Linked DNA regions of Canis lupus familiaris. The protein of the gene in region 2 purifies or fractionates together with the protein of the main gene of each other region. This does not show direct contact. Links are inferred from orthologs where the notes say so. Each region holds a gene or a part of one and is shown on either strand. Other genes may lie near its edges.

The links. Proteins that work in one complex are often made in the same cells at the same time.
Region 1: the proteins of POLD3 (region 2) and SPRTN purify together in Homo sapiens (affinity purification with mass spectrometry; 3 studies listed by BioGRID, with this or other methods). This does not show direct contact. The link is inferred for Canis lupus familiaris from reciprocal best matches to the Homo sapiens genes POLD3 and SPRTN.

The regions. Positions count from the first base shown.
Region 1 is NC_049225.1:8,509,054-8,514,303, forward strand, and holds the start of SPRTN (DNA-dependent metalloprotease SPRTN), read right to left. Parts: upstream 3,588-5,250; 5' UTR 3,191-3,587; coding exon 2,970-3,190; intron 2,956-2,969; exon of another isoform or gene 2,105-2,955; intron 1,996-2,104; coding exon 1,896-1,995; intron 1-1,895. Other genes in the region: EXOC8 (exocyst complex component 8), read left to right, coding at 3,822-5,250. UniProt on the Homo sapiens protein: DNA-dependent metalloendopeptidase that mediates the proteolytic cleavage of covalent DNA-protein cross-links (DPCs) during DNA synthesis, thereby playing a key role in maintaining genomic integrity.
Region 2 is NC_049242.1:23,913,184-23,918,433, forward strand, and holds the start of POLD3 (DNA polymerase delta subunit 3), read right to left. Parts: upstream 3,674-5,250; 5' UTR 3,579-3,673; coding exon 3,519-3,578; intron 3,349-3,518; exon of another isoform or gene 3,155-3,348; intron 2,904-3,154; exon of another isoform or gene 2,783-2,903; intron 1,994-2,782; coding exon 1,938-1,993; intron 1-1,937. UniProt on the Homo sapiens protein: Accessory component of both the DNA polymerase delta complex and the DNA polymerase zeta complex.

The sequences.
Region 1 (5,250 bases), on a different chromosome or scaffold from region 2:
TAAAATACACGTGCATGGAGCTTTTCTTTGTCCTCAACCAGACAAAGTCTTTTCCTTTTCTGAATCCTACTCATTACAATTTAGGTCATACTTTATGTACAGACCAGAGTCACACTGTTCCTCTTTGGTCCTTCTTACCCCGATCTGATATTGTAACTTTCTGCCAACAGCAAATGCTCACTTGATAGCATTACCACACATCTCCCATTCTCTTCTCGCCCATTACCTTTAAAAAAAAAAATTGTTCGTGCGTTTAACCATTTACACAATAAATATTCATTAAGCAACTACTGTTATTAGAGCTCTTCATAAGGTTGACTTGGTTAATCATGTTCGAATGTTTTTTTATGCCTACTTTTTTTCCCCTGCTTATTCACTGAGTTACCAACAAAGTTGTGTTAACACCTGCAACTATGATTGTGGATTATTTCCCTTTTTGCTTCTACTAATCTACGCTTTATGTAATTTAAAGCTATATTACTACTTTTAGGATCATTATGTGTTTTTATTTAATAGATCATTTTATCATTATAAAATGTTAACCTTTTTTCCAGTAAAACTTCTTCCCTTAAAATCTTTAGTCTGATACAACAGCTTTCTGTTTTTGTTTGGATGATATATGTCTTTTTCCACCCTTTTGCGCTTAACATATGTGTGTCTTTATCTTTTTTTTTTCTAATGCAATTTTATTTTTTTATTCATGAGAGACACAGAGAGAGAGAGAGAGAGAGGCAGAGACATAGGCAGAGGGAGAAGCAGGGTCCATGCAAGGAGCCCGACGCGGGACTCGATCCTGGGTCTCCAGGATCACACCCCGGGCTGAAGGCAGCGCCAAACCACTGGGCGACGGGGGCTGCCCTGTGTGTCTTTATCTTAAGCACATCTCTTTCCATCTAGTATGTCAGTTCATGTTTAATTAACGCTTAATCCATTTACATTTAATATAATTACTGATAACCGTCTTTATGCCTAACTTTTTTGCGGGGCTTTGTTCCTTTATTCCTCCATTCTCTTTTATTAGTTAATTATTTCTGTTGTACCATTTTATATTTAGTAGCCACTGTCTTCTATCCTAACTGTGGTGAAAAACACATTACATAAAATTTACCATCTTAACTACTTCTAAGTGTACAGTTCTGGAGTGTTTAGTATATTCACATGGTTCTGAAAACCATCACCTTATATTATCCTTAAAAACACCATCTTTCATATTTCCAAGCATGTTTTAACATATTTCCCATCCAACCTCTACCACCTTTTATCCTCTTTTGTGCACACATTTCAAGAGCTATAACTGGGGCAAGACCAGTCGTCACACCGGGTGTGTCTTAGGGAATTTCAGGCATCTTCTAGACTCAACTAGCCATAATCTGGGGGCTCCTACTGCTCCATTTTGCTAGTGAAGCATGCCCTCACTCATGCTGGCTGGTTCTACCAGCTCAGCTAGATATTCTGGGAGGGCAGCACCACAGCACCTGAACAGAGAACCAAATCTGAAGTCTCAAAAGGAAGATATGGGTCTTAATTTTTTTCTAAATTTTTGCTTCTAAATATGTAACTTAAACCAGTTACTTAGCCTCTCTGAAGAGGCTTTATGTCCATATTTATAAAATGTCCATATGTCCATATTTATAAAAATGAAGACAACACACATTGTACATAAACAGGGCTGTTGTGAAGATCGAATTAAATAATAAAACTTTATTATTAAGCCTTTAGCTGTGAAGAACTGTAAAAATATACGGTAATCATTATTATCTGCATTGCAGTTAAAGTTTGCAATGAGGAAAAACAGGTGTTTGGTTTTTATATTACAGGTTAATTCACAGCAGTGTAAATCAGTAAAAAGCATTTTTAAACTACTCAGCTAAGAATCAAGTTTATGCAAAGAATACCTCTACGAGATCCTTTCTTGGTCTCAACTTTAACAGAGGTTCACTGAGACGGATGGAACACATTCCACCCCTCCCTTCATAGCTGCATAGCCCAGCACACCTGGAAAACAACCACCACAAAAGCATTATTTACCTAAAACACACAAAAGAGAAACAGAAAGGAGAAGAATAAATCCTTATACATTCTTGGGCAGTTCACACTAGTATACCTTTTTTGTTAGGAGATATCTTCAGATCACCCCAGTGAGAGAGAGGTGTGAAGAGAACTGCATCCCTTGCCCTAGCCAGGTTGCAAGAGGCCAAAGACAATCCTGTTCTGCGGCTCCCAGTCTCCTCCCTTCAAACTATAATCAGTTTGTGGTAGTTAACAGCCAGATCTCCATCGGCGCATCTCCGAAAGCGTAAGAGAAGCCTTTACGAAGGAGATTTGTCCTTTTAACCAGTTTTATGTCCTATCTTAATCTGTCTTAGTTTAGGCTGTTTTGTATTACTTCAAAGACAAGCACCGTGGTGTACAACCATATTAAAGCTGTTAACTCCGTTCATGAGCCGGAACAGATTACTTCAAATCAGGAATTCTCTACTTTAGTGAACATCCTTTTAGAGGCATCCCCGAAGATCCTTTCGGTCCAGAAATACGGAAACGTCAGCCCCGTCCCCCTCCTAACACCTGAGCTCACTACCAAGTGGTGACATCTCAAAGGGCACAGAAGAGGACAACACACATCTCTGGGAGGCTTCGCTGCCTCCTCGGCATTCTTTCTTAGGGGCTGACTCTGGGTGCTTCTCCCTCCTGGGTCAGAAACGTGTTAATTTATTTTCAAGTGAGGGGAGATCCAAAGACATCCTTTTCTCTCCCGGTGTCCTTTACAAATCAATCGGCTACCGGAATGGGCCACACAGCTAGCTTTCTTAAAGTTGTTGGAGAGGGAGGGAGACTAGGGGAGGGAGAGGGACAGCGAGAGGAGCTGCTGGTGTCCACCACGAGACCCCCAGGTTTCACGCCCCCCGGGACCGGGGGCTGCAGAGGAGCTGCCAGCCGCTCTCGCTTCCCCAGCGGGGCTCGGGACTCACAGGGTCATTCGCAGGCTCCACTTCACCTCGACGGCCTCCAGCTGGCCCCAGAAGAACCGATCGTTGAACTGCACAAACAGGGCCTGCAAGTCCGGGGTTGGGTCCACCAGCTCCCAGGACGCGTCCACCAGCGACAGGGGCGCCTGGGCCCGGTCGCGCTCCGATCCCTGCAAGTTCCACTCCTCCTGAAGCCGCAGTGCCAACACCAGATCCTCGTCCATCTCTGCCGGGATCCCAGGCGGCGTCCGAAGGCGTTAAGCAGGCTCCACGGATCCCAGGCTCCGAGAGCCTGGTCGAGCTCCTAAGAAGTACCGGCTCTCGGGCGGCTCTCGGGCCGGCCCGCCGATCTCGCGAGAACTCAGGAATAACTGGCTCTAGAACGAGAACTGAGTTTGCCCCAAACGCCGAGGCCAAGATTCTGGGGCTTAAAAAAGAGAACTCTGCAGGATACCTCCTAGTGGGCTCAAAACGGGGGCTCCCAGGGCCTGGACTCTAGGAAGGCGTCAGGAGACTGGCTACCGCCTTTACGCTCCGCCGCTCACTTCAAACACAAACGTCACGCCCGGCCCATGCGCAGTACCGCGTCTCGCCGCCTCGCCCTCCACTCTCTTCCGCAATAGCGCCTCCGGCGCATGGGCTCTAGGCCGCGGGCGCCCCTGCGCATGCGCGCTGCCTGCGCCCGGCCCCCTGCGCAGGCGCGGTGCCCGAAGCTCAGGCTCGGGCGCAGGCGTACTCGTCTCTCTTCCATCCTGCTTCCTCAGCCCCGGAGCTCGGCGGGGCTTGGGTGGGTCTCGACAGCGGCGGCACCGGCGGCGGCGGTAGTGACAGTGGCTTCGTGAGCCTCGGACGGAAATGGCGATGGCGATGTCGGACAGTGGGGCGAGCCGCCTGCGGCGGCAGCTGGAGTCGGGGGGCTTCGAGGCGCGGCTGTACGTGAAGCAGCTCTCGCAGCAGTCGGACGGCGACCGGGACTTGCAGGAGCACCGGCAGCGCATCCAGGCGCTGGCGGAGGAGACGGCGCAGAACCTGAAGCGCAACGTCTACCAGAACTACCGGCAGTTCATAGAGACGGCCCGCGAGATCTCCTACCTGGAGAGCGAGATGTATCAGCTCAGCCACCTGCTGACCGAGCAGAAGAGCAGCCTGGAGAGCATCCCGCTCACCCTGCTGCCGGCCGCCGCCGCCGCCGCCGCCGGGGCTGCCGCGGCCTCGGGCGGGGAGGAGGGAGGCGGCGGCGCGGGGGGCCGAGACCACCTGCGGGGCCAGGCTGGCTTTTTTCCCGCTCCCGGGGGCGCCTCCCGCGACAGTTCGGGTCCGGGCGAGGAAGGGAAGCAGCGCACCCTCACCACCTTGCTTGAGAAGGTGGAAGGCTGCAGGCACCTGCTGGAGACGCCGGGGCAGTACCTGGTGTACAACGGGGACCTGGTGGAATACGAGGCTGACCACATGGCGCAACTGCAGCGGGTGCACGGCTTTCTCATGAACGACTGCTTGCTGGTGGCCACCTGGCTGCCACAGCGGCGGGGGATGTATCGCTACAACGCCCTCTATCCCCTGGACGGTTTGGCCGTGGTCAATGTCAAGGACAACCCGCCCATGAAGGACATGTTCAAGCTGTTGATGTTTCCCGAGAGCCGTATTTTCCAGGCGGAGAATGCTAAAATCAAACGGGAGTGGCTGGAAGTGCTGGAGGAAACCAAGAGGGCCCTCAGTGAAAAGCGGCGAAGGGAGCAGGAAGAGGCAGCGGCCCCTCGCGGACCACCGCAGGTGACTTCCAAAGCCGGGAACCCATTTGAGGATGAGGAAGAGGACGAACCAGCTACTCCTGAGGTAGAAGAGGAGAAGGTGGATCTCTCAGTGGAGTGGATCCAGGAGTTGCCCGAAGACCTGGATGTCTGTATCGCGCAGAGGGACTTTGAAGGAGCCGTTGACCTGCTGGACAAATTGAACCACTACCTAGAAGATAAGCCCAGTCCACCTCCTGTTAAAGAACTAAGGGCCAAAGTGGATGAGCGGGTCCGACAGCTCACCGAGGTGCTAGTTTTCGAACTGTCCCCGGATCGTTCCCTGAGAGGCGGTCCCAAGGCGACTCGAAGGGCAGTTTCTCAACTCATCCGCCTTGGCCAGTGCACAAAGGCTTGTGAGCTGTTTTTGAGAAACAGGGCAGCAGCTGTGCATACTGCAATACGTCAGCTTCGTATCGAAGGCGCCACTTTACTCTACATTCATAAGCTCTGCCACGTGTTCTTTACCAGCCTTCTTGAGACTGCGAGGGAATTTG
Region 2 (5,250 bases):
GCAAAAGAAACCAGACACGAGACTATATATTACAGGATTCCATTCATATGAAATGGCCAGGATAGGTAAATCTATAGAGAGAGTTTACTAGTGATTGCCTAATGCTGGGAGGGTGGGGGAAGGATGTGAAAGGAGTGGAGAGAAAATGCTAAGTGCGTGCTAATGGATACAGGGTTTCTTTTGGAGGTGATGAAAATGTTCTACAATTAATTATAGTGATGGCTGCGTAACTCTGTGAACATACTAAAAACTACTGAATTATACATTTTCAGTGGGTGAATTGTACAGTATGTGAATTTTATCACAATAAAGCTGCTTTTCAAAAAAAATTAAGAAAGTAGTTAACAGAGTGATATTACAGAGAGGAAGGGATGGGGATACCTGAAATAAAGCATTAGAGAAGGGTGGTTGCAAAAAGTAATGTGTGACATTTGAGCTAAAACTTGAAGGATGAGAACAGCTGGGAGAAGAGCATTCCAGAGGGAATGGTTCAAATGTTCTAAGTCAGAATGAGCCTGGCATATTTGACGGACAAAAAGATGAATATGGCTACAGTTTAAGTAAGGTAGAGAGAGGCATGGGATGAAGTTGGTTGAGAGACAGGGGCTAGACAGTGTGTTAATTCTATAAAAATTACAAGCAAAGTAACTACTATAAAATCGCAGGCAACTTTATTTCATCTCCAGCCCTCAATATGCACCTTTAAGCCCCAACAGGCTTATATAATAATAGTTATTTCATAAATATCTATAAACATAACAATTAGTCATATATGTCCGTTCTGAAAGTTACCTGAAACCCTTGGGTCTGGGCCAGCACTGCCATTAGCAACAGAAAATCTCAGATAAAGGTCAGTCCAAATTCATCCCTAGGCCAAGAGTTTCAGGTCTTGAAGGCATAATCATAGCCAAAGCCAGATTCTAGGTCTGTCAAAAGTAGCCCACATAAAGCCAAATCAACCGATTCTAGTTATCAGGAATTTTCTAAGATTCATGGAACATTGCCTGACTCAAAGAAAGCTCCCATGACTCAAAAAATTGGGGAAAAAAAAAAATCAGACCACTTTAGGAATAAATTGAACTAAATGAGTATTTAACTCAATATATATGCTCTCAGCCTATTTACCAATTCCTCCTCTTGGGATAGAGACAAGATTTTTAAGAAATTTTGGAAGTTAATTCAAAAGCTTGCCTTTTCCCTTTTGGCCTCAAGTTGAACTACAAGTTTCAGCAAGCAAAGGTGATAAAGCAAAAGTTCAAGAAAGGCAATGCTCTGCATCATCCTGAACACTCCCATTTTAGTTCATTTAAATAGTCCTCCCCAGTACACCTGTTGACCTCATTATGAAAGTACTTCACTAACACCCAGATGTGGGCCTAAGGAGCACATGTGAAAATGTAACGAAGATACAAGATGACAAGCATACAAAATCTGAGAAGTAGCCCGTTTAATAAATTTGAAGTAACAAAATGATGTTAACCAGAGGCCAAGGCTACTAATAAATCCAGCAAATATACAACCACATATTTGTATATAAGTCCACCTATCTCCTAAATAAATACAAATTTAGTGAAAGGTAGTAAAAATAGTATTCTTTCCTATTTTCCAGGGGAAAAAAAAATTCTTTTTTTTTTTTTTTTTTAATTTTATTTATGATAGTCACACACACAGAGAGAGAAAGAGAGGCAGAGACACAGGCAGAGGGAGAAGCAGGCTCCATGCACCGGGAGCCCGACGTGGGATTCGATTCCAGGTCTCCATGATCCCGCCCTGGGCCAAAGGCAGGCGCCAAACCGCTGCACCACCCAGGGATCCCGAAAAAAAAATTTCTAACCTCAAGGCTATCTGCAAAGCTTAAAACAAAGCAAAACAAAACAAACAAAACACACACACACACAACTCCAGTGTGAATAAAAATCGTAGTAAATTGTACTTACTGTTTGGCCTGGTTAACATGAACCCCTAGTGTATAGCTCAGCCATTTGTATGTCACCTGCAAGAAGAAGGAGTTGGTTTTTAAGTGTTAAAAAACATTAATGACATTAACATTAAATGATTCCAGCGTGCAGGTTAGTCCCAGGGGCTCCTAAAGATTCCTACTCTCAGATGATTGTGCCTTATAAATTACAGCGGATGCCACCCTAGTTTTGCCAAGAACAGTCCATCTGGGTAGGTAGGACTGAGATATTTATCTTACACTAAAAAGTCTGTTTCACAGGCTAATTAATACAAAAGTCTAAAATGAAAGGCTGAATATACATACAAAGAAAAAGCTCGCATTTTCCTCACATTCTTTGTTTTACCCTTTATTCACACTGTCCTTTTTTGTGGCCACCACTGATAACTATTAAAATTCACCCAGAAGCTAGATTACTTTGCAGTGTATGACATAAACGTCTAAGGAAAAGCTGCAGCCGTGCCTGTTTGCTAATGCAAACATTAGCAGGCACAGGTGGTGCAGGGGCCAGGGAATTAAAGAAGTGGATGGGGGCAGCCCGGGTTGGCGCAGCGGTTTAGCGCCGCCTTCAGCCCAGGGCCTGATCCTGGAGACCTGGGATCGAATCCTATGTGGGGCTCCCTGCATGGAGCCTGCTTCTCTCTCTGCCTGTGTCTCTGCCTCTCTCTCTAATAAATAATAAAACAAAATATTAAAAAAAAAAAAAGAAGTGGACGAATGCTGTATTTGGGGTTAGACTGGAATCCACTGGCATCAAGCCTTGGTCTTCCTTCCATCCTTCCTTGAACTCTCTTGTCAAATGTCACTTCCTTGGATGCTCCTCACCTCTTAGAAGTCTTCCAATTCTAAATGCCGAGTTTCCAATAATTAAGAACATAGGTGAGGCGAAAGCATTAGTAAAAGAGACAGATCTAGGTTGGAAAACTGCCTATCCTTCACTAACTACAAGTAAGTAATGTGGTTCCTCTGCTTCAAGTATAGGGATACGTCCGGCGCCCTTTGGGGTCGCTGTAAAGATTAAATGCAATACTGTACATCCCAGGCTCACAGCAGGCATTCAATCGTCACGGTTGTAAAGTCCACTCGCATTCATCTTCTCAATCTTTCATTCCAACCCTGAGGGGGCTGGTCAAGCCTACGAATACCAAATTTCCTAGCGGAGGAAACTGACGGTTGAAAGGTGAAACAACTAGTCACCTAACCCAATCACGGCACAATTCTTCAACAGTCAACTTGGGGCTTTAAACCATTTCACCTCATCGGACAGACGCAGAAACACCTCAGAATTGTTATCTACCAGGGCCCTTCCCTCCACGCCTGTTCTTGGCCTCTGCTCCTTGCACAGCACCCGGCACGCCCAACCCAAGCGACGCGGACTAGCGCGCGCCAGAGGAATTCCCCCTGCGAGCCCCCGTGAGCCCTCGCGAGCCCTGGGGCACCAGACGTGGGGACCCGTCGCCCCTCGGCCAGTCCCCACCAGGCCAAGCGCAGAGGGGTCAAGGCCCCTGCCGCCCTCAGGACTCCAGTCTCCTGCCCACATTCCCCAGTCCTAGCTCCTCACGATCTTGTTCTGGTCCGTGACGAACTCGTCTATATTTTCCAGATAAAGCTGGTCCGCCATCGTGCGGCACAGCTGCGAGCCCCGCCACCACAAACGCAGCTCCCGCCGGCGGGAAACGTCTTTCCTCTCTCCCGGGTCCGGGGTCGTTTCCCACAGCAACGGAGGCGACGCGCTACGGCGGCCGCCCGAGGGTCAAACTAGTGACGGAGACGGCGCCGGCTCAAGTAGGCGGAGCTAGTAGGTAGGAGCCAACGCAAGCGCGGACTAGGAACCTGCGCGGGACCTGGGGAGGGTGTTTCTGGAGCCCTGGTTTTAAATCTCCCGTCTGCAATTTAATGCCTGACCCAAAGCAAAATACCTCCTCGTAGGAGCCACAGCCTTACCACCTGTAAATTGATAACATAATCCTTGCCCTTTCATACCTTTATTCAAAAAATGCTTATCAACTACCTACCTATTCCGGGCACTGCTTAGATGCTGGGGACACAGCGGTGAATGATCCAGACAGAAATAAGCCAGTAATTTTAGTAGAGTGATGGCAGCTGGAATGAAGTACTCCTGGTTATAATCCCTCAGAATTGAGAAATTAGGGGTGGCTTTCCAGAAGGGATGGGATAAGAGAAATGTTTCAGATAGAAGCAAGAGCATTTGCTGGGAAGAAAAGAAAACACCTAGATTTGGAATCTAAATCTTTAGGTAAATGGTGGTGCATTTGACTACTGAACTGTGGAAGACTGAGAGAAAGAGCAGATGAAGAAAATCAAAGAATTCTCTATGGCCACAGTTATAATGGAGAAAACATATAAAACCCTCACACCATGCCTGTACACAATAAAATTAATAGCAGTTGGGTTATATTACTATACACAGGGTACACTGTATTAGGTGCTTTGAGAGTGAGATTTCATTTACTCCCTAGAGCAACCCTTCAAATGGATTGTGTTTGTCCATATTTTATAGAGTAGATTGCTGAAATTTAAGAGAGGAAAGATGAATTTTCGAGGTCACAGGGTTGGACGGTAGTGCTGGGATAGGAATTCAAGTTTCTTTTCATTGTTCCACAGGGATGGGAAGAAAGTCAAGATAATTGACCAGATTCTTGACGCTATCCCCATGCCAAAGGGAGCAAATGATAATACTATATAGAATACTTGACCCAACATGGCCCTAGGTATACCAGTATTAAAAGGTTGTGTGATGTTTAGAAGCCAGATTAGTGGTTAACCTTGAGACGCCTACCCAGCTTGAACATTCCTACCTCAGGGAAGAGGAGCTGAATGGAAGACATGTGGGCTTTGGAAATATATTTTTCTTTTAAAAAGGAAGCAAACAAACAAAAACCTGGGATTGAATCCCAGCTTTACCACTTCCTAGCAGTATGGCTGTAGGCAAATCACTTAACGTCTCTAGTCCTCAATTTCATGATCTTTAAAAGATGGGACAATAGAACGCAGTGGTATACTAATAAATGTTTAACAGCCAAATTTAAAAAGCCCTGATTTGTAGTGGTTGACAACATCTGTGATGTGTATACTGCCATCACAGCAGACTTCAAACTCCTGATAGTGACATCACTGAACACAGGTAGAGACACACAATATCACACAATTACTTCCACAATACATGTAGAATAAACAAATAACCTCAAGAGCATATATGGCAGTAAAATAATTAGGAAGTGGTTATATTGAATATTTGTTGTCTTTGTTTTTAATGATTTAATTATAAATTT